Linked DNA regions of Neodiprion lecontei. The protein of the gene in region 1 purifies or fractionates together with the protein of each later gene. This does not show direct contact. Links are inferred from orthologs where the notes say so. Each region holds a gene or a part of one and is shown in the gene's direction. Other genes may lie near its edges.

Region 1 (6,517 bases):
GGTAGCTGCAATTGTGTTTTAATTTCGTATGCAGAGATGAACAATAACACGAGGCTCGAATATTTTCAAAAAGCACTTCGTAACGGGAAATACTTGTGTTACAGCTTCTTTATACAATTACTCTAAAGTAGAGTGATAATTCTTCACCAATAACAAAATTTCTACAAAAATTTGGGTGAAAGAAGCATTTGGCAATCTTAAATTTTGGAAAATATTGAAATATGACGCTGTATTGATCTGTTAGGAAAATTGCAAATGCCAATATAGGGTGATTCTTTATCTGGGCTCGTATCAGTCTTATTTATTTACTGTGGAAATAATTATTCTTCACAAAGCACAATTTCTTTCAATAAGCGTTTATGTATGAATCGTTAACGAAAGACTGATTAGAAAATCGATATTCAATAAAGTAATTCTACATTACAAAAAACAACTGTATAGTTTGAAATACACAATCAAGCAAAGTAGAAACTAATTTGAAGTTATCATTGATTCATGACTCCACTTACGAAGACACCTTTGTTTGAGAATGATCCAATTTTTATTGAATTTATGCTACATCGACAAATCTTTAATCAGAAAGACAATTGACTAGCAAAAAATTTCAAGAAATCTTATGGCATGGATAATATATCGTGGAAAATCGTAAAAATTGTAACCAAATTTGGGCACTGAGATAAAATTCGGAAAAGAGACCCAAGAAAATTTTTTTCTTTTTGTAGATTTATTTTTCTGCACATGTCAGCACTGTTGAGTCTAATTTTTTTCCAATCAATATACAATTTGAAAGTGGTCTTGAGGTTGGATCTTTCTTCATCGGTGTCGCATGTCGTTTATTTGTTCAATTGTTTGCCATTTTTACATCTAGCTCTTTTTCTTTTGTTACCGTACAAAAGTCGCGTGTTTCTCAAGCCAACTTTCATTTGGAATAACGGGTGAAAGATAGCGTGAAAACAGGCTGACTCATATTATCAATTGTTAGATCATCGGGACGATTGAGACTTTAGAATAGAGAATTAGAGTCTGGACTAAATATTCGCGAAGGAACTTGATACAGGGTGTCACTCGAGGCGAGTGGGCGACCGGGGAATTTCGTTATTGACCCTGGCGACCCGTACGTTTGAAATTTCCCAACTGTCAAACGCGTTGACGTATCGTTAATTCCCAGCATCGACGGTATTATTATATTGACGGGACGTTTAAGGTCGGCTTGGTAATTTGCCACGCCTTGCGTTGTATCGGAGCAAATAGGTTAAGAATAACGATAAAAAAAATTAGCATGGATTCGTCGATAATTTCGGGGCGTTGATGGATGGAAGGATCGAACTTACCTGCCGACAAAATTTTCCAGAACGGAACTCTTGCCAGCACTTTGTCCGCCCACAACAGCGATCTGTGGCAGGTCGAGTTGCATGTGCACTCCGAGCTGAGTGAACGCATCTTGAAGCTTATTTACAATTGGTATCAACTGTTCCATTCCCGTATTGCCTGACATTTTGGTTAATTTTAAGTTATCGTCGGCACTTCCTCGAGCAACAAGAGCTATTCAACGACACTGGAAAACAGAATAAAAGCGTATCAGCACGGAGCCGCGACCACCACCTCCGTCCGACAGGGTAGCAGTAGAGCGGTCAGAACTGTCTCTCACACTGCTCGTCTCTCTCTCGATAGAGCAAAATGGCTGGGCCCACGATATTCCTTGAGCCGATTCGAACTCCGAACCCGAGTGTTTTCACCGCATTTTTAATACCCGGAGCCCGATTCTGCGAGCGAGAAACGCGCGTTTCAGCAAAGTTCCGTAAGAAAACGGACAGAACAGCAACACTGCGAGTGCCCTACGCCGCGATCACGCAAATGAGATCCAGCATCAAGATTCTGGACGTTAACGTTATAATCGATAATCGAAGCTTGCGCAGTGCCGCCGAGTTTCTGACCCAGTTTTAGAAACGGAAAGAAAATCTATACAGATAACGACGTAGTGAATAGCGTTTCGTTGACAGGGGTATTTACCAGCGTTAAAAGACACGTTTTATACAGTTTTTCAATCAAACAGTTATCCACAAAATTACCCGGAGTCGGTGAAATTTTTAATTAATAAATATGATATTTTTTAAGCAGCGCGCTCTTTCTTCCGGAATATATAGCGATAAGCCAGTCACAAGTACCCTGTTCCACAGATAGGTGACAGGGCAGACCCGCTATTTCCGCGACATTACGAATCCAAAATGTCAGACATCGATAAATGGATTGATATTGCAAAAGAGTGCAAATACCTACCAGAAAATGACCTCAAGGTAATGAGCGCATTTCATTGACGATAAATAAATATTTACTGCTCGTATAATCTCTCGCCGTACTTTCGAAATACCAATTTTCATGAAAATATTTTAGGTTACATTTCCCGAAGTATTATCTTTGAATAATTTAACTTGTACTTTTACCTGTTTATACAGAAATTGTGTGACATGGTTTGCGATTTGCTCCTCGAAGAATCCAATATCCAGCCAGTATCGACTCCAGTAACCGTATGCGGTGATATTCACGGACAGGTGAGCTACTGCGACCCAATATAACCTCAAAACTTTAGGGCAGTACTTGTTGATGCATATCCCATAATATTTGTGCGTCTTTCATGTCAGTTCTACGACCTGGAGGAGTTGTTTCGGAGCGGAGGCCCAGTACCTGATACAAATTACATATTTATGGGAGATTTTGTCGATAGAGGATATTACAGCTTAGAAACATTTACCCGTCTGCTAACACTAAAGGCCAAATGGTCAGACAGGATAACGCTATTACGAGGAAATCATGAATCGCGCCAAATCACACAAGTTTATGGATTTTACGGTAACCATGTGCTCTTCTATTTACCATTGTAGGATCCAGTAATCTCAGAGCTTTGGCTATACGTTAGGATGGATCTGAAGCCCAAAATATAATTAGCAAGTTTTCACGCTGCGAGCATGCGGTTGATTTTCGTTTTAGTATCTGTTTGATTTGCTTTTCTTTCAAGCCTTACGCTTCTTTCGCTACTGGAAGGAAATCACATAATGTTTACATGCAAAATTTAGTTTGACGAGCATGGGAGTTAAATGTCAGCTTTATAAGTTATTCAGGTTGCCTGCCCCCAAACTTTTTTGGAATTTGACTCCAGAATTCTCTTTCCTTCACAGATGAGTGTCACAATAAGTATGGAAATGCAAATGCGTGGAAGTACTGCTGCAGAGTATTCGATCTTCTTACAGTAGCTGCTGTGAGTATATTTATACATTAATGCACCATGATTTTCAGTACAAAAGTAGTAAAAACTGAAAATACTAGATACGTAATAATTTATTTCAACGAAATTTTTTCTTCTAGTTAATTGACGAACAAGTGCTCTGTGTTCATGGTGGTTTGTCACCAGCTATTAGGACTCTAGATCAAATTAGGACAATTGAAAGAAATCAAGAAATCCCACATAAAGGTATGAACAACTATAAATCAAGTCTATCGTATAACAATTTGAGTAAATATTATATCCATCAAAAATATTATGTAATGATTAGGAACGCTATCCTGAAAACTTCCAGTAAGCATTAAGTTACTCAGCTTTGCACTTTTGAAACTGGTGGGTGAAGTTCGTTGCCGAAATCTTGTCAAAGCTCATGGAATGCCAACATTTAAATAAATTTATAAACACAAAAGTGTACTGCTTTCCTCTATATAAGAAAAGTTTTGGTTCGATTGCCTGCCAAATTTGACTGTCAGTTTCAACTTCGTATGTGGCCAACTCGATTGATATTTTCTCATTCTTTATTTACTTGCAGGTGCTTTCTGTGATCTAGTGTGGTCCGACCCAGAAGATGTCGATACCTGGACAGTAAGCCCACGAGGAGCCGGATGGCTATTCGGAAGTAAAGTTACTCATGAATTTATGGGTATAAATGATCTTCAACTCATATGTAGAGCACATCAGTTAGTTCACGAAGGTAAGCCCTTGCGGTAATAATAGTTAGGTTATTATTTTGTTTATCCAATATATTATTTTTCTTTGCTTCTTCAACTAATCGTAAGCATATTGTTACTGTCGAAAGAAACTAGTCAATAATTTCGTATCAAGACATTTGAAATTTATTTACCAAATGCAATATCTCATTGCCAATGAAGTCGCCAGAATTCACTAAAGTTGAAAACTATAGATTTCAACTTGGTATAGCAAACACAAATGCACGTACGGCAATAACTTGATGCTAAAGGATCGAAATATTCTTTAAATCGTTAAGTATTATTCATATTTTGTAAATAAATATAACATTTACCTTTGTAGGGTATAGATACATGTTCAATGATAAGTTGGTGACAGTTTGGTCGGCGCCAAACTATTGTTATCGATGTGGCAACATAGCCAGTATTCTACAGTTCACAACGGTGGACCAGAGAAATGCGGTGTTATTCCAGGCAGTGCCAGATGCCGAAAGAGTGATTCCCCCACTTACGACAACACCTTACTTTTTGTGATCTAACTCGGCGCTCCATCTGTCTCGATGCAGAGGAGCGGCGTCGGGATCTAGGCCTCACGGAGATACATGACTGCTCCTTTGTCAATGAATTGGGCTGGTATTTTGACAGCATGAACGAATGTTCTTGTAGTATATCATAATTTGGGAGGTTTTTTTATACATCAGTTTATCATGAAATTCGTAGTTTTTGTTTTCTTTTTTTTCCGTATCAAGATATATTTCCGGCACAATGATTGTGCCCTTCTTTATTGTTCAAGTAAAATTATATGTAAAGGAATTTATGACCTTGTTTTTTAAAAAAATTTTATACGCTAGAAAGTTGTCTGTGGTAAACTATACTGAGAAATATAATGATATAAAAAGGTTCTGCCATTGCATCAGCCTGATCTGTTTACTTAAAAGAGCTTCTGTAAAAATTCAACAACGACATTCTATGGTCTAGATGCTTTTGCTGCCTACTGTGTACATTCTGTAGAGCATTCGCACCTCAGAGCAGCAAGTTGGACATGTTTGGTCGCCTGAGAGCTTTTAAGTAACTTATAAATACACGAAATGTCATTGGTCCAGTGATGTAAAGGGAAATAACATAGAAAATATTATTATTCAAACATTCCGACAAGAAGTGGGCTCTGGGAACAGTGAATGCTTCTTCGACATTACAGTTTACTGTGTCTAGAATTCAGGTTTCAAGAATGCATAAGCCAATGTCGTATCGTTAGGGTCTTCCCGAAGATATTAATAACTTGATTCTGTTCTAACGAGCTTCGTACCGACTATTATTGCTAATGCTAATATTGTATCTTTATCTTGAATAATTGTACAATAAAAATAAAACAGTATGATCACGGATGGTCCGGTAAAAGTTTAGCACATACCATTTTACTTGATGATAAAAAAAGCATTGCAACATTTTTGTACGAAACATGGCAATATTTTATCGATAACCAATTCCTTGCATTTCGTAAATTATATGATGGCTTATTGATATCAATACATAAATGTTTTATAAATGTTTAAATTCCGTGGATCGCAATAACTGATACTCATAAAAAAAAAAAAGACACATTACTTTAGGAACGATGGTAACCATAAACTGTACGAAGTTGAACGTAGTATACAGCTAGTTCAGTCCTTTCCGTGACCATCTTGATACAGTTGAAGCAGAGATACCACTTTGCCAAATAAAAAGAAACGAATAACAAGTATGAGTGTACAGTTTCCATATCATGTATTCATATGCCAAATTATTGTTGTATTAAATAATTGATAGGTAGATTATCATAAGTTTATTAACGTAGGGAGCAATTTTTTAAACTGAGACCCTTAGCAATGTGCCTCTAAATTAATAAGCGTTTGTGTAATATAATAATGCATAATGAAAATACATGGATAGTATTAACTCACCAGCTGCTGCTGTTGCTGTTGCTGTATGTAACAAACCTGAATTCTGGCACTCTTTGTCACTAATTTATGATACTCCTACTGAACTCACAAACGAAAGAATTATAGTATAAAATGGCACTAGCTGCCAAATCAAACCAATATACAATTTCAAATTTTATCAAATCGACGGAGTAGATCTGCTCCGAGCAGATCATATAGAATTTATATCGTGCACGTAATGCGTGTTCTTTGTTACAAAATCATGTCAGTTCTCAAATGCCACGTTACAGTGCTTTATTTTTAATGCAATTACTGTGAGAAATTCCTCAGCTTGGCATCTACACATTATAGAGTTATATCAATATCTGAATTTCATGTATCCGTAAGAATGATAGACATTTATATTGCCTCATATTACTTGCCAACTGACACAGAATCGTTGAACAGTCTGTTTTAAAGTGACAACAACAGTATGCAAGTGTCTTTTCTCGTTTCCCCCTGTTGGTCATGATAAAAATACTTTTGATATAAATAAAGAATAAAGACTTGAATAAAATCATTGGCTTGAATGGATGTGGGACTAATTAAGACATTGGGACTCACGTTATAAATTTTATAATCGCTTCGGCAGC
Region 2 (5,878 bases), on another chromosome or scaffold:
TTCTTGGCATTCTCGTCCATTTCTTGACATTCTTCATCTGTAATAAAAATATTTAGTAGTCAAAATTTGTGGTGTATACTAAACTACATCCTAAGCAATTAAATATCTGTTCATATTGCCTAGAAATAAGCAGAAGGATCGAAGAGTTTGGCTGGTAGCTGCCTGTGCCGCAGTTCTAACTGCTTGGTTTCCATTTTCAAAGGCCTCGCTACAAGTTGTTAGTACAGCAATAATGAGACGACCATTCATTGTCCAATATGAAGAACATGCAACTTGCAGTAGCACCTAGGAAAAATTTTACGAATAACATCAATAATAATATTAATGATTTGATTGGTTTAAAATGAATCACAGGTAAAAACAGCCTAGACTGTATTTGCTCTTCATTTCTGTTTTCAATTTTACAACTAACTTACTTTTAGCATGTCTGTCTGTGCATCGTCTGACTGGGATAATATGGAACTCATAGTATGGAGCATTTGAGCTGGAAGCCACAAGGAATCATCCTCCGGCTCATAAGGAGACTGAAATCTATCGTCCCTCAGCATTTTCTGCCATAAGACATAAATGAACATTAATTGCATATAACCACTTATATCTATAAGAAATTATTCTATTCAATTTCAATTAGAAACAAAATGTTTGTTCGAATAATCCTGAAAAAATAACTCATTGAAGCGAATAAGTATAAATTATCTTAGAAACATTTAATGTCAAATTTAACACTATATATTAGTCGATTAAAAAAACGACATGAGCAAATAAGTGAAACATAAGCAGAGTGCTTGATATGTCAGTAAAAATATGTTATATATTGTGTAATCAGTGTCGAAACCGTGACCAAAAAACTTAGAGCTTCTCCCATTGCAATAAAAATCATTTGGCATGAGCTTCAAATTTGCAGAATATATTCAAAACGCTGTCATAACAGGAGAAAGAGACTGAAATCAAAAAAAATAGTTTCCTATTTCTTATTGATCAACTTTCACTGCATAACAGGTCTGAAATTGCAAGGAGACATGTAAAAACAATCAATTGGTAAGCAAAAACTACTGTCTGAATATCGATTGGTAACTTGCTAAATAACACAGCTCTGAATGAGTTTCTAAATCTAGTCAAGCTGCTCAAAGTATTTTACAAAAAATCATGAATTCTGAAAACAAAAATTTGTGGCACAATGATCTAATTTTAACATTAATTATATTCTTGGAACAATTTTTTTCAGTTAAAGTATAGTTTCACTTCGAAATATAATTTAAATATTTTTATACAGTTATCGTCGAAACAGTAATTAGTAGAAAAAATCAGTCAGCGTCAGAAATGTGAATGAGTGCTAGCTGTGTAGCATAGTGAGTATCATATGGTGAAAGCACTATCAGTAATTGTACCACCCAGGATGTGGTTATTGCAAATACGAGGGTGTTACACAGTGAGAGTGAGGCAATGTACGAGCGATAAGGAAAGCTGGCGAAATAAAGCGAACAGCTGTGAATATCGGGATCATTAGAATGCATTACATGTAGGCCAGCAAGACCAAAGGCGACAAATTTGCTTCTCCTTGTTTCGAGAGCGAGCTGACAGGTGTGGAGGCATTTCGCCCGCAGTTCGTGCGGGGGATCCCGCAATAGACCTTGCTGCTTGTCCAGGAAATCTGTGGGAGAAAATAAGTGAGTGAAGAATCAAAAAATGGATAAGATAAGATGTTCAATGTTTAGCTCACCATGTGCCTCTTGCGCCGATTTACGTATGTTTGGTAATTTCGCGTGCGAAGCCTCCTTGACGATCTGCAGCAGGAGGTCCTCCATGACAGAACCATGCAACAAATCGATAAAGCGAGTACAGAACCCGGAGACGAGATAAAAATGTCCTACGAGTCCAGAATAAACTCGGAACAACGCGGCGTAGTCATTTCGATATGAGAATTATATTATTTACTTAAAATCTTGTCTAATAATTGATTATATTCGACAACTATCGCGAGTGTTCTGCTTTTGATATTTCTCAAATTTTCCGCTGCACGCTCGTCCACTCAGCAGCGCCGCTGCGATCGCCATTGCAGGTTTGATATCTTTGACCAATTGTATTACAGAACGCCCACTTCGTCTCAAAACAACGCAAACACGTCGGTAGAAAGACGAAAAATGGCAAATGGCGAAACAATTTGAATGCCAGTTCAAATAAATATTTGTGAAAAATTTGCGTTAGCTGGGTAAATGCGGCCTGAAAATAATGTGATGCGGACGGTATGTGATGGCGAGCAAGGAAGGAACTGGCCATCAGCAACAGTTTGTTGAAGAAATTAACTACAATGAAATTGAAACACAGGAGGTAATCTTGTGATATCTGTGTAAGAAAATCGCACATTTTCATTATGTTTACCCTCACCAAATTGTCATTTTGTAGCAAATAACTTACCCTTAAATAAATAGCACTCGTAAAATTCCATATCGTATCAATGAACCTCGTATAAAAATCTATTGCGAAAACATAACCTCACAACATCTTCGTCTCCAAAACATTTTGGTCTCTATAAACATACATGAATATTTTTTTCACTCAATTATTTATCTCGATCAATCAACTGAGTCCTGACTGTTAATATGTCCATCCACTTTCGGGCTGTTGCTCACCGTTATTCATCAGTAAACATTATTATTGACGTGCATAGAACTCGCGTTTGTAAAAGAGAGTGAATTGATTTATACAATATCAACGAACAAGCTTTATAGATCAGCTAACGTTAGTTAAAATTAAAACATTTATTTACAAAGAGATATCAGCCATTGCTGTGTAATCAAATTCATCTAATCAGCTTTGATACGCGCCTCATGATTTGTTTAGACATTTTATGTCAGCGATCCAACTTCCTTTAACTAATACAGTAAAGTAAAAAAGTAATTGTTTCTGATAACAGATTGTTGGGAAAGGCTCCTTTGGAGTTGTCTGGAAAGGACGATGGAGAGGTCAGTATGTGGCGGTGAAACACATAAACTCTGAGGGAGAGAGGAAGGCATTCACCGTCGAAGTGCGCCAGCTATCCAGAGTAGCACATCCTAATATTGTTAAACTCTATGGTGCATGTACAAAAAATCCAGTTTGTTTAGTTATGGAGTATGCTGAGGGTGGCTCTTTATATAATGGCAAGTAATTGAAAATTTATAGTACACTAGTGTTAATTCAAACTAACATCCAGCTAATGATTTGTGAAATATACACATATCCAAAAAATGACCATGCATCCTAAAAAATGATTTACTTTGTAAATGATAAGTATTATTTCAGAAGTATCACATCATGGTATTTCTTTATTTAATCAATTGCGAATAGAGTTGCTTGAAATAATTTTGGTTGTTGAGTACAACCCAGTATGTTTAAACAAATGTAGTGGTTTTACTTGATACCTTATCTATGAAATAGGAGTAATGCAGTGCCTGAATATAAAACACCAATGATCTGCAAAATACAGCATACATTACTGAGTTTTCAAATTTCACTTTAAGGCTGCTCTGTCCCATCATTCTAATAATTATACGTGAATGATACTTTCTCTGCTTTATTCTTCCATTTACATTCGAGCTGTGTACGTATCTTTTGAGAATTGATACTTTTTCTGCTTTTTTAAAAAAAATTTCTTTACAATACACACATATTTTATAACTATAATGTGTTAATGTTACAGTGTTGCATTGTAATCCACAACCTTACTACACAGCAGGCCATGCAATGAGTTGGGCACTCCAGTGTGCTCGTGGGGTTGCTTATCTTCACAACATGAAGCCAAAACCATTAATTCACAGGTTGGTCAAATATTTAATCATTACATAGCTATGCACATGTTGTTGTGTTTCTAAGAGCCACTCACTTTCAAACATGGACATAATTGAAATTCTATCAGACACTATAACCTTGACTATTGGAAACTTTACAGAGATTTGAAGCCTCCTAATCTTCTTCTCATCCTGGGTGGTCAGACTCTGAAAATCTGTGATTTTGGAACAGCCTGCGATCTGAATACTTACATGACCAATAACAAAGGCTCTGCTGCTTGGATGGCGCCTGAAGTCTTTGAAGGATCGCGGTATACAGAAAAATGTGACGTGTTTAGCTGGGGCGTTATTTTGTGGGAGATTTTATCTCGTAGAAAGCCATTCGACGACATTGGTGGTTCTGCATACAGAATTATGTGGGCTGTGCATATTGGGCAGAGGCCTCCGTTGATGGATGGTTGTCCTAAACCGATAGAAGACCTTATGACCCGGTGAGTAAATATTAATTTGTTACAGCATCTTCCTATTTACACTAAGAAAAAATCTTCGAACACAGTTCAATATCTTATGGTACTTTATGGTACTGTCCAGTCATAAATCCACTTGACATGAACGTGTGTGTTTGATGTAGAGTTCGACTGTTACTCATTATGCCAAAATTTAATCTGTAATTCCTATTTTTCTCTATATTAACTTTCTCTCATTTTTATTTGTTGCTTTTAGGTGTTGGAAAAAAGTTCCAGAAGAGAGACCGTCAATGGATGAAGTTGTTCAAATTATGACCACTCTTTCAGAGTTCTTCAACGGTCAATTGGATCCTGTTGAATATTCTTTAAGTATGTTATAAACCTCCATAGACACTTCTTAAACTAAGATTATCAAAAACGAAAAAAGATGATAAGAACGCACTATGAAAAAATTACGTCTTATGAGGGTTTTTTAGTAGAGAAAACAAATCATTATTATAGTAAATGCTATTTCATACAAAATACAAAATCCAAGTAACCTGTACAGTAAAGAATTTTGCATTTTCATGGTAATTTTCAGGCAGTGAAATGGATGAGGAAGATGGTGCTGATGACACATTGGATATGCCGAGTACCTTAAACTCACAAATCAATGGTTCTGTAAGCAATGGTACAAATCAGACACCAACGCCAACAGACAATCAAGTTATGTCTGACATTCAATTTACACAACCAGAAACCAGCTCGTCACAGTCTCAGGTACCGCAGACTGAATGTAACACAGGGTACCTCACACCTAGGCTGAACCAAGCTGGAACACAGTTCCTTGGACTTCAGAATAATTCTAAGCCCAACTCACAAACTGGCGGTAAAACAGATCTCACGCCACAAAGACCTCCTAGAGGTATACCTGTGACTCAACGAACCAGACTATCACCATCAGTTTTAAACGACTATACTTCGCCGATACAGATAGAGTGTAATCCAGTAAGTAGTCGCGATATGTGGGTTTACTTGTCAAATTTGTTGATTCTTATTTATTTTATGATGCCCATTTTCAGAATTCTTGGGATTTAACCACATCCGATGACTCTTCATGGGAGATACGTAACATGGCGGGATTGGACAAAATGGTTCCAAAGACACATAAAACTCCTCAAGGTAAGAAGTTCAGAATTTTTTTACGATTCTACATTTATTTCATTTGAAATCATATGAGTTTGGCAAATATCGTATTTCATATTTACTAGAGTGAGCTTCTGAACTTGACCCACTTTGTTTTATCCATTGAATTTTCGTCAAATGCCTAAGTTAAATCAGTTAGCAGCAAAAGATACCTTATTATTCTGAAGATACATGCATCGTTTTGATTTCGATGTAACAACAAAAACTCATGTACGATTTATACAAAGGTATACATTCAAAGGTATACTTGGAAAATAATATAGTAGAATAAGAAATTAGCTCATATTCAAAGTTAGAGTGATATCACAGAGCTGGTAGTCAGTCACTTTTTTTAAAGGAGTCACGTTTTTCCAGAAATGGTCTCTGAAGTCACTTTTTCGGTCGTAATTAAGTTTCGTGCATGAACAATTTCGTTCCAACATTTTGATCTCACGCAATATCCACTAGATAAGCCGAATT
Region 3 (5,150 bases), on another chromosome or scaffold:
CCACCTTCTTACAATTGAGAGTAATATCGATGTCCTCGATTCAAGCACGCGTTCACCCTTCTCAGAGTACCATGAGAATTATTCAGTTTTCTTTTCATCGGTGCTCTTTTTATATCGCGATGCTGATACATAATATTTCACTCCGCTCTCGCTAAGGATGTCGCACATACATATCGATTATGGCCAACACGATACCTACAAATCACAATTTATTTCCGAAATATATGGCGCTCTTAGTGAATCGAGGGGAGGTTGTAAAAAGAAGAAATATACTTGGACTGGGTTCGATTATAGGCTGTATGACTCCATAGAAAGTGCTCAAAGTGACGGAAAAAAGCCCAATTTACCCCGTGCAGACATCGTGGTATAATCGTATATATTTACGTTGGTTTGAGGATCATTAAAAGATTATGCTGATCTCCGGTAGTTTATCCTTTCGAGTTTTAAATGCACCGAAATTGCCTAGCTGCGAATTTCAAAGATATGTAACATATGCCTACGTATACAAACGACTTGGCGTGGGCGTGCCACATTCTATCTGCCTAGTGGTACTTACCTTTGAAATATTGAGAGGTTTTTATGATTCCTCGAAAAAGCATCGTTTCCACAAGTCTGACGATAATTCTAGAAGCGGTTGAATTTGTGTTTGTATATGCATACCGCGACGCTAAGGGTATGGAGAACCGAATATCTATTCAGTTGCTAGGATAGTTCTCGAGTTCAGCTGCGTTACTACGGCAGTTTCGATAATTCATTGAAACAACAAGGAAGAACTTTTTCAACCATGCCCTAATTGGACTAACGAGAAAACGGGAATTTAACTAATCAAGTGTATTTCAATCATCCTTCAGGTCGAAAGCAAACCGCATACGATCAGTCCGCTGAAGAGGCTTGTACAAAGTTTACCTATTGGTCTCGCGTATCAAGTGAGTGGTAACATAAAAATAACTCTTCGAATGTGAACATTGTATGAAAGACGAAGGAAGATAAATGGGTCAAACAAACCGACTGCCAACTGTTAGCAAGGTGGTATCATTCAGAAGAGACTAAAACAACGTCGAAGAAGCCTAAATTATAACTGAGGGGTGAAGAAGAAAGAAAAATAACTAATCACTCTAAGAGCGAGTAACTGAGGTTTTTCAATCTTGAATTCTCGAATCACGCTCATCATTAAAAAATTTTAACAATTACAAGAATTTCAGACTTAACAACTCACCACCCCGCCAACGGCAGTGTAAAGCATCAGGGTGAATAGCAGCCCAACGTGACTTGCGACGGACTTGAATTTCCGAATAGTTTCCGCCTTCAAGAACTGTCTTTTTACCGAATTCACGACACTCGCTTTCCGTTTCCCTCTCTCCGTTTTTTCACCCCTGGATTGCTTTCCTTCGACCTCTGAATCCTCGGGTTCTTCAGGGTCCTCCGGTTCACCCGATGCTCCGTTGCATCCTCGAGTCAGTTCCGTCTTTTCGGAGACAGTCATCGCGGAGTTAATTTAACCGCAGTTCGTTGTTCGCGGTAATTTATTTGCAGCCACACGCGGATCAAATATGTATTTCAGACCTAATTCTATAAATTGTATGACTATTTTTATCTTCGAATCTTATTCCGCCAAATCGAGACTATCCACTGTCGATCGCGACACAGCTTGCATGGTTCTCTTCTTTACTCGAATGAGAGTACAACGCATTGTGGGGACGTTTCGAATACATAAAAATTCCATAACATCTTCAACTACGTCTTATTCATTCGCTGGGCGCGTTATCGCTGGAATCGTTTTACAGCTTCGTGAGAGTATGAATAATAAATCGTAATAGTAAAAACAGAGAAATCAATCTCTAGGGCGAAAAATAGATATTGCGAGAAATAAAATCACTTGCAAACGCTCGGTTACGTATGGGAAGCTGGTCTGCGTTAGCTGCGATTAATTATAATCTTGCACTGGAATTGTCATTTGGAAAAGATGCTGTTTGGGGAACCGCTTTAAAGCGACTGAACCAAATCTATCCTCCGCAGATAACTGTCGCGCTAAACTATCTCTCTGTCCATTCGACTTAACTGTATCGCTAGCAGTCCGAGGGCTGCTCCAGCTTGTCGAAACACGCAGCCGCGCGTTCAGATCTCGCGAGGATCTGGCGGTAAGCGCATCTTGTGCGAATTCCAAAAATTCAAATACATACATGCTTATAAATGGATATATATTCGCATAGTCTGTGTTACGAACACGCAGTCGTAATCTAATTGATGCAATACTATTTTTTCGTAACTACTCGAACTGGTATCAAAGTTATTGTAGTATTATTTTCCAGAAAAACCTCGCTAATTGCACCCACCTGCAGTCTCGTTCTGCGTTGCAGGCAAATGGAGCAACCTGATCACATGATATTTGACATCCAGTGAGCGATAGTACGCGAATTATCAGACATTCGGCACGGATTCATCCCTGTGCAGTCAAGATGGTATCGCTCTAAACAATACATGGTGATAATTCGCATGAATGTAACACATGCGACACATGCGTAGTCGGTCTGCACCGCCAAACTTGTCTGAAAATGGCGGGATACGGAAGAACTAAAATCACTGTGTCAACTGTCGAGAGTTAGTGAAAAAGCCGGTGGTTTACTGAAACTTTTGTGAGGTTTACTAATTTTCCGGATGTTTTAATTTTTCCATAATTCGTCGCAGGTAAAGGGATCGATGCCGTGTTCTATTTACCAAGATTTTACACCCGACCTTTATTTACACCGGTCGTCCGGTGTCGATTATTGGTCTGTTAGTCTAACGGAGAGGTTATGTTGTTGCCAAAGGCGAATACGCTGTTTAAATAACACCTTATTTCTAATGTTGATTGGATTACGCCCTCGATGATAGAAACCCGTCGACAAAGATTTTATCATGATTTTTTTGAGAACATTATCCGCAAGTAGGATTTCACCTTCTTATTACAGATATGACGACGGTGAAAATTCACGGAGGCATTGATATCCTGCGACTCCCTGTCAATGAAGAGGAACATTTATTTCCACCTTGGCATTTAAAGTACACCCAATCTCACATACTTCATTCAAAATGTTCGCGAAGCGAAAATGCCTGCGGAGACAATGACGCCGATTCCTGCCAGTTTTGTGTGTACGTCATAGTTATCATAGTCTCAAGATTCCATATGATTGAACATGATTATTCGTGTTGAAACTGAGATGGCTGTATGGAATATGTTATTCCGTTCTTTTCTTATTTACCTGTTTATTCATCAAAATACGAGCAATTTTGCGAAACGAAATATGTGCTGAGTAGAGAACGTTGCAGGTTTAACAGAACATTGGACCTTCCACATATGCCTGACATGGTATTTCCAAACAACATATTAACCCTGAAGTATGAGGACAAAGCTATTATAGAATTCAATGCCTTAGATGCTCTCAAACGAGTTTCTAATGGAAAAATTAATCTTCAGCTGGCCTGTGCCGAGGCTTGGAAAGAGTCGAGGTATTATATTTGATGTCATTTTTAAAAATTCAACTGGTTACAGAGTACATTCAATAATTATGTACTATGACAAATAGATCAGAAAGTAGCGAATATCTGGAAGAAAAAGTAAAACCATTTGATTGGACATTCACAACGGATTACATGGGTACCATGAAAGGTTTCGATGTCGTTGAGACTAGTGAAAAAATTGATGTTAATAAGCTGAAACAGAAAGAAAAAATACTGTTCTATCATGATCTGACGTTATTTGAAGATGAGCTTCACGATAATGGAATCGCTGTATGCTCCGTGAAGATTGTAAGTTTCTTTTGAATATAATTATTGTTCTAACATACAATTATCATCAATACGAATGATTTCTTTCATGTGTTGTACAGCGTGTGATGCCCAGCAGTTTTTTTGTATTGTTACGTTACTTCCTACGGGTGGACAATGTTATGCTGAAAATTAACGATACGCGACTTTTTTATGAGTTTGGCCAGGATTACCTTTTACGGGAATTCACATCCAGGGAAGACAAGGTCGCAAATTTGCGAGTGAGTCATGCTTATTATTATTATTACTATTATTATCATTATTAAAATTTCTGTAAATACTGGTTTATTGTTAATAATTTTTCCTTAGGTATCACCTGTAATATTCACAGAACCAAATGAAATAGCTCAGTATTTACCGATAACCAAAAGTAAATGTCACAAGCTAACTATTTCTGAAAAATCAAACGTTAAACCGGAAAATCTTGCTACGCAGATTGAATCGACATCAACATTGGGCACTGTATCCAGTACCACAACTACGTCAACAACGAATAGTGTTTCTATGTAAAAAAAAATATATTGTAATGGTGTGAACTGTGTTGTTTGCTATGTGAACTGACATACAGGAAAAATATAGGCAAATCTTAATACCAGATGTTCATGTTCGAATCAATAACATTCAAAAAGGCATAATATAACTTATTCTATTTCCTAACATCTAATGATTTGTCTATTGCTGCTTCTTATCTATGAACTGTTGCCACGATACTTTTTTTTGGATCAAAGTATTGATGCACAGAACTCAGTTTTTACTATTAAAATCGTAAATATAGAAATCATTATCATTTGACGTAACTAATGGGTATGCAAATACACAAAATGAAATAAAAAATAAAAAATTGTTACATAATTTCTCATTATCAATATTTCAGTACAACAATACACATCCCATATTTTTGCTTTGATAAAGTAACCCATTATATTTTATTCAAAGTGTAGATATCCTCATTAGTGGGAAGAAGTGCCTATCTTAAAGTATATGCCGATAATCTTGATGAAGGCAATTGATTTCAAGGCAAAAATATAATAATCAAGTTCACGTTAGATATTGATGATAATACGATAATCAGACAATAGTTAAATTACAGTTATATCAGGTTTGGCATAAGTTTATAAGCAAATGTACACGTATAATTTGTCTGTGATTTTCAGATTACCGTCCTATCAATAAGTATTTTATCGCAGGTTTTATTAACACGACTATTACACATGATATTATATACATATTATCACTTGATTTTCTGAAATTGTAGTGAACTGTACTGATAGTACCATGTTCATAATCAATAGCAAAAAGACTTGGAAAGTCTCTAACACTCTATTGATGGTGAATGCAACAATAAA
Region 4 (5,933 bases), on another chromosome or scaffold:
TTCCATTTGAATTTTAAAAGATATTTGAGATCTACGTTGAGCATGAGAGAAAATCTCATAACCCATGTCCTGAAGGGTTAAGGTTACATAACTGTGTCTGCTGGGTAGTAGATGATAGACAATGTTTTGCAGTAAATTGCAAGCTTACAAAGTTCGTCAAATATTTATTCATGCTGCAGTTTTATCCTTTGTTATGCCATCAATTTATTATTCAGTTTCGACGACGACTGCGGCACTTCGCCACGGTAAGTGTTCTCTGATAGGAGATAAAATAAACGCTCACTGCGGCAGCGAGGGTTCCGGAAAGAGTGATAGCTTGGAGGACAGTCCCTATAATACATCGGAGGTGAAGTGTTGCGTCTTTCTACTGGCCACTGCGCATACGAGGGACAGTCTAAGCAAAAATGTAATGTCACTGATTTGCAAAACAAAACGCGTGCAAAAGGGGCACTAATCTCCGGTGTACAAACTTTTTAAAAGACTGTATCGGTTCAAGAGAGATAGAACTTCACTTCCAAGCTATTTCTTTCTCCTGAAGGCGAGCCATATACATAGACTTATAGAGATAGACTGCGCGATCCGTGCACCGAGCTGAAGCCCTAATTAAAATGAGAAAGCAATAGTGGGATCCGACCTCTCTGCTGCACGGTCGAAGGAGTGAGGAGCAGCCGCCAGCCGGGAAGAGCATAACATGTATAAGCTAGGTGTTTCTCCCGCCAAGTCACCGATTAGAGTGAGAGGTACGATGCCGCTGTTACTTTCTCTTTCTAATTAGAGTCTCAGCTCGGTGCTCAAACCACGCAGTCTTTCTCGATAAATCTATGGCCGTATACCGAGCCACGCAATGAGCGTTCCAGTACTGTTATATTATATCTATATTATAATATTATAATATAGAGTTCAGTGATTATATGTCTATAATTATTATATTTCAATGGTATGAGCACGCGTGTAAGTAGAAACTAAAGTCCCGCATACAAAGAGAAGGAGCTCTGCTGGCAACTCTCTATTTTTGTCTAGCTTGCTTCTGAATGGCGCCCCTCTTTCCTTGCGCGTTTCGGGTTTTCGACGCCTTGCTCAGTCTACCTCAATATTATCTCTATGCCAAAAATCCGAGCGTGGACCACGGAGTATAGATACAAGGAGTCTGAACGGTATCGGGGTTTTCATAGTATTAATGTACGCAATAATAAACCTAAATCATAGTTCTCTTTTCTGCCACTGGCTGCGCAAGTACTCAGGACGTACCGTTGTTATTATTATTATTACACGTAAACATACACCATATACTAGCTCGCGAATGTTAAAATTAATTAAATTAAATATAAAATAAAAATTTATCTATTTAAAATTAATTTTAAGAAAACAATGGGTAGGTGTTGTGCTGTTCATGGTTGTCTTAGTGGCCGAAAGGCAAGTGAGAATGTAGAGAAAGTAGCTTTATTCAAAGCACCAAAAGTGAGTAACCTCAAAATAATATTGAAAATTTGTGTTATTAACAAATAATTCTAAAATTTATGTAGTTTTCTAATATTTGAAAAATATTTTTATTTATGTGCTTAAATATAAAAATATATATTACTTTTAAGGATGTTGAATTGCGTAGTAAACGGAGCTCAGCTTTGGGACAAGAATTAAAAGCTAGCAGTTTTATTTGCGAATTACACTTTAATCCAGAGAATGTGATTAAAACTGATCGAGAGATTTTAAAAGATGGTAGTGTATATGTGTATGAATACCAGAAAGTTCATTTGAGGAAGAAAGCTGAGCCAAAATCACATACTAATGACGACAATGAAAACAATTGTAGCTTGCTATTAAATAATGATTCTTCAACAATCTCTGATATAAATGACGATACGACAAGAAATATATCAATTTTTGTTGGCTGTGACGAGCATAAAAAAGAATTAACAAAAAAAATAATTAACAATTTCATAATAATGCGGGGGCATTTTCTAGTCAAATGTTTTAATAAAAGTGCTACGGAGAGAAAAGTTAAATGTAAATCCTAAAACTTTGTATTTAATTCCACATTTCTCAGAATATTTTTTTCCAGAGAGGTGTCAATAGCAACAAGACTTCCCGCGTAAGAATTTAAACGAGTGCTTCTTAAAAAGTGGCGCACTCTACCGGCAAAAAAATCTGTCCCCTAAATTACGACCATTCGTTCAACATTACGTTCAGACTCCTTGTATCTATACTTCGTGGCGTGGACTCTCTTGTGTGTCCTGTATGAATCACCATCGCTCTTCTGTCAACGCGGTGAACGCGACTGTGCTTGAGGCTAAATTGATAGTCAATTGCAATAAAAATAAAAAATGAACAATTTACTGGAAATTCTTGTCACACAAGTGTGGTTCCGGATACCATTTACCGTTGGTCTCCGTCTAAAATTTTCATGAGTCGATCGTGGAAAACAAGTAATTACTGTTTCATCGTTCAATTTGTTATTGAAATCGGGAAACTCGTATGCGACGAGAATTCAAATTTCACTTTTCCAATGTGCGGTACGTGACAGCAGATAACAGTTTGTTTACTTAATTGTCAATAACTTTCGGATGCGTCTTATGAACGTTGATTAGTTGACAAACATGTTAAAAATGTTTCGCGACGAGGTGAGTTTCAAAGGTGTGGCAGAAAATTGTTACCAATATCAAACGAAACTACATCTTTTAGGTTAGGGTCCATCTCTACATTAAGCAAAGTTTTGCCCTTTTAATTTAGACGCAGATTCAAATTACCTGCATACTTGTAATCGGAGATAGATTTATATGCTTGAATAAAGTCAATCACAACGGTTGCCAGGCAAACTCGTATTAAGGCAACTGGGGCAAATCATTTCTGAATATTGTTCATTCAGTGTGACTTGCCAGGATCCTTGTAATTGCAAGAAAAGTACAGTAATTTAATGGTGAGCAGAATCAATGTGAAATTTTCAAGTTACGCACCTGATCATCGGCTGACCGGTAAAATCTTTATATATCGCAGATGCGATCGAGTATAGATATCAAGACAATATATTAGTCAAACTTGACCAGACAACTCAAAATTTAAGTACATCCCGTTAACACGAAAACAGATGTGTCTTCGATACTCAGACCAACATATGGATACCTGAAATGAAAAATTTACCAATATGACCACTAGTCAGAATTATTCAGTATGACTCATTTAGTTTCATAAATATTGTTTCGCATTTTCAGCCACCCTTGATCCAAGCTATATTCAATGGCAACCTGGAAGAGGTTAAGGCTTTGCTGGTGCAACAAGTTGGTGTAAATTCGAGAGATTCTGAACAACGATCTCCTTTACACGCAGCTGCTTACATGTAAGTTACGCATCTACTTTGACACAACCGTGTGTGTCCAATCAATCAGAGCGATGCATTTAAATATGTCACTCTACCATATCTTTCATCTATTCTGGTTTGAACTCGATAGTCTATAAGCCTAGAAGTCTACCGCTAACGCTGAACGTCCTCGAGAGTTACGAATGACTTATTATCCGCCCTTATCATTGTGTCAGCATTATCACCAGTATGACGTCTTGCATCTTCTGGTCTTTTTATCGCTACTCTTTTCATCTCTTTCAGATCTTATCTTTGAGATAATATTTATTCCCACTAACCCATACTCCCATCGTACTATTTTTACATATTCCTTCAGTACTGCATCGTTTCGTTCGAACAAACAATATATTAGGGTCGACGTGTAAAGCTTATAATCATAAAGATATCCTGTGGCAATGGGACATAACGAATAAACTCTGACTCTGCGCAGGGGAGATCCAGCCGTCGTACAGTCGTTAATAACTTGGGGAGCATTTGTCAGCCAAAAAGACAACAGATGGCTAACACCGTTGCACCGAGCCTGCCGTTCAGGTAATTGGGGCGCCGTTAATGTACTGCTGATGTATGAGGCAGATGTGAATATTCGTGACCGCAATTGGCAAACACCGCTGCACGTCGCTGCTGCTAATAATGCGATACAATGCGCAGAGAGTCTCATCCCTCTGCAAAACATAAACGTCACAGACAGGTTAGTGGTTTGTTTTTTGACTATTTATTCTTTTAGTAATCATAAATTGCTTGACTGGTGTGACATTTTTATTTACTTACATTTATTTATTTGACCAAACATTTCTCAGTGTAGATATGGATTTTGCAAAGTAAAACCTTGTAGAGGTAATATATAACTGAAATCACCTATACATAGATCTGAGAAATAATAATACTACTGACCTAAATACTAAATATAACAACTAAATACCTACTGGTTTGATTTAGAGGGTATTCATCTGATCATATAGCAATATGCTATTTAATATCCATGTGTCAACAGTTACAACCTTGAGTTATTTTTTAATTATTATATATTAAATCTAATCGAATCTGTTAATTTTTTCTTAGAATTTCTTTTATCAGTTTGAAACGTTTTTAGATCATTTGGTAGACAATCGAATATTCTAATTGCTTTGATGTAACTATTTTTATTGCCAACAGCTAACAGTGCTAACAAAATTAGTTGTTCAACATTATTTTTACTTCTTAACTTATTCATTCTTATATTATCACATTTAAAATTTAGACAATGTAAGTACAGTCTGTTGAAACTGTTGTTTAGGGGTGGAAGAACGAGCTTACATCATGCCGCCTACAATGGACACTTTGAAATGACGAAGCTTTTAGTATCTCAACCCGGGTGCATTCTCAACGCTTGCGACAAGAAAGATCGGAGAGCCTTGCATTACGCCGCCCACATGGGTCACGATGCTATTGTCAAATTACTAGTGGAAAACACGGCATCGGTCGATGTTAAGGTACAGATCAAGTTTTTGTTCCCCAAAAATTAATACAAGCAACCCTGATTTCACAAACGTCACAAATACTCAATAACATCTCAATATCGAATTCATAATTTATATACACTCCCATTATCGCATTACAATAAACATCACCCTCTTTTGCCAAGGATCGTGAATTATATACTCCGCTGCATGCCGCCGTTGCTTCAGGAAAAGTGAACTGCGTCCGTATAATCATTGCCGCCGGAGCAGATATTGAGGCAAAGAATGTGTATGGAAATACGCCATTGCACATAGCCTGCTTCAACGGGCATGCGAACACTGTGACGGAATTGATCAACCACAACGCAAATATTGGTAAGCTAGTACAAAGCTTGTCCCAATTAGAAAACAACTTTCAATTGGTTCAGAAATTGCATAATTAAAGAACGTGTGACCTCCAAAAATCAATATAAAGCGATATTACGTCTATCCTTTTCCTAGAGGCATTGAATTACCGTGGTCAAACACCACTGCACGTTGCTGCCGCCAGTGTGCATGGTGTCGAATGTTTGGAGGTTTTACTATTTTCTGGTGCCCAAATCAACGTTCAATCTCAAGATGGTCGTACTCCGTTGCATGTGACCGCCATTCACGGTCGTTTTACACGCTCCAAGAGTCTACTGGACAGAGGAGCGTCGGTTGACACCCGTGATAAGAATGGAAACACAGCTTTGCATATCGCGGCGTGGTATTTATCAGTTATATCTGTAGGAAATATTTGAGGTCCAATGAATACTTTGTTAGTTCCAGCACAATTTTGTCCTTTGATTGAGCAAAAATTCTCTCCGCTAGGTACGGGCACGAATGTCTCTCGACTACCTTACTTGAGCGCGGCGCCTCACCAGCGGCACGAAACTCCGATCAGAGAACACCTCTTCATCTTAGCTGTCTCGCAGGGCATATAGAGGTACAATACAGAATAAATGTACTTTCGCAACAATCGCAGAAATGTACTATGCCCATTTTTTCAGGTCTGCAGAAAGCTATTACAAGCGGACAGTCGGCGTATGGATTCTAGGGATATCAAAGGTCGAACACCGTTACACTTGGCTGCTTTCAAAGTATGGCCGCAAATTAATCAATTC

The links.
Region 2: the proteins of serine/threonine-protein phosphatase 6 catalytic subunit (region 1) and mitogen-activated protein kinase kinase kinase 7 purify together in Homo sapiens (affinity purification with western blotting; 3 studies listed by BioGRID and IntAct, with this or other methods). This does not show direct contact. The link is inferred for Neodiprion lecontei from reciprocal best matches to the Homo sapiens genes PPP6C and MAP3K7.
Region 3: the proteins of serine/threonine-protein phosphatase 6 catalytic subunit (region 1) and TIP41-like protein purify together in Homo sapiens (co-immunoprecipitation; 4 studies listed by BioGRID and IntAct, with this or other methods). This does not show direct contact. The link is inferred for Neodiprion lecontei from reciprocal best matches to the Homo sapiens genes PPP6C and TIPRL.
Region 4: the proteins of serine/threonine-protein phosphatase 6 catalytic subunit (region 1) and serine/threonine-protein phosphatase 6 regulatory ankyrin repeat subunit A purify together in Homo sapiens (affinity purification with mass spectrometry; 9 studies listed by BioGRID and IntAct, with this or other methods). This does not show direct contact. The link is inferred for Neodiprion lecontei from reciprocal best matches to the Homo sapiens genes PPP6C and ANKRD28.

What each region holds. Positions count from the first base shown.
Region 1 is NC_060262.1:30,902,873-30,909,389, forward strand, and holds serine/threonine-protein phosphatase 6 catalytic subunit, read left to right. Parts: upstream 1-2,152; 5' UTR 2,153-2,225; coding exon 2,226-2,294; intron 2,295-2,441; coding exon of another isoform or gene 2,442-2,453; coding exon 2,454-2,549; exon of another isoform or gene 2,550-2,552; intron 2,553-2,639; coding exon 2,640-2,847; intron 2,848-3,173; coding exon 3,174-3,253; intron 3,254-3,360; coding exon 3,361-3,466; intron 3,467-3,809; coding exon 3,810-3,971; intron 3,972-4,309; coding exon 4,310-4,500; 3' UTR 4,501-5,656; downstream 5,657-6,517. Other genes in the region: dynamin, read right to left, coding at 1,332-1,495.
Region 2 is NC_060260.1:31,604,333-31,610,210, forward strand, and holds the start of mitogen-activated protein kinase kinase kinase 7, read left to right. Parts: upstream 1-2,113; 5' UTR 2,114-2,250; coding exon 2,251-2,328; exon of another isoform or gene 2,329-2,347; intron 2,348-2,914; coding exon 2,915-3,140; intron 3,141-3,679; coding exon 3,680-3,797; intron 3,798-3,928; coding exon 3,929-4,258; intron 4,259-4,490; coding exon 4,491-4,603; intron 4,604-4,814; coding exon 4,815-5,221; intron 5,222-5,295; coding exon 5,296-5,395; intron 5,396-5,878. Other genes in the region: brefeldin A-inhibited guanine nucleotide-exchange protein 3, read right to left, coding at 1-37, 120-285, 417-551, 1,518-1,651, 1,721-1,805. UniProt on the Homo sapiens protein: Serine/threonine kinase which acts as an essential component of the MAP kinase signal transduction pathway. Plays an important role in the cascades of cellular responses evoked by changes in the environment.
Region 3 is NC_060265.1:5,357,240-5,362,389, forward strand, and holds TIP41-like protein, read left to right. Parts: upstream 1-2,535; 5' UTR 2,536-2,685; intron 2,686-2,948; 5' UTR 2,949-2,950; coding exon 2,951-3,129; intron 3,130-3,306; coding exon 3,307-3,486; intron 3,487-3,563; coding exon 3,564-3,786; intron 3,787-3,866; coding exon 3,867-4,025; intron 4,026-4,113; coding exon 4,114-4,314; 3' UTR 4,315-4,401; downstream 4,402-5,150. Other genes in the region: TWiK family of potassium channels protein 7, read right to left, coding at 1,217-1,483. UniProt on the Homo sapiens protein: May be a allosteric regulator of serine/threonine-protein phosphatase 2A (PP2A). Isoform 1 inhibits catalytic activity of the PP2A(D) core complex in vitro. The PP2A(C):TIPRL complex does not show phosphatase activity.
Region 4 is NC_060264.1:23,666,658-23,672,590, reverse strand, and holds the start of serine/threonine-protein phosphatase 6 regulatory ankyrin repeat subunit A, read left to right. Parts: upstream 1-2,223; 5' UTR 2,224-2,594; coding exon 2,595-2,618; exon of another isoform or gene 2,619-2,631; intron 2,632-2,660; exon of another isoform or gene 2,661-2,679; intron 2,680-2,727; exon of another isoform or gene 2,728-2,911; coding exon of another isoform or gene 2,912-2,914; intron 2,915-3,206; coding exon 3,207-3,331; intron 3,332-3,782; coding exon 3,783-4,040; intron 4,041-4,625; coding exon 4,626-4,821; intron 4,822-4,973; coding exon 4,974-5,163; intron 5,164-5,289; coding exon 5,290-5,536; intron 5,537-5,640; coding exon 5,641-5,755; intron 5,756-5,819; coding exon 5,820-5,909; intron 5,910-5,933. UniProt on the Homo sapiens protein: Regulatory subunit of protein phosphatase 6 (PP6) that may be involved in the recognition of phosphoprotein substrates. Involved in the PP6-mediated dephosphorylation of NFKBIE opposing its degradation in response to TNF-alpha.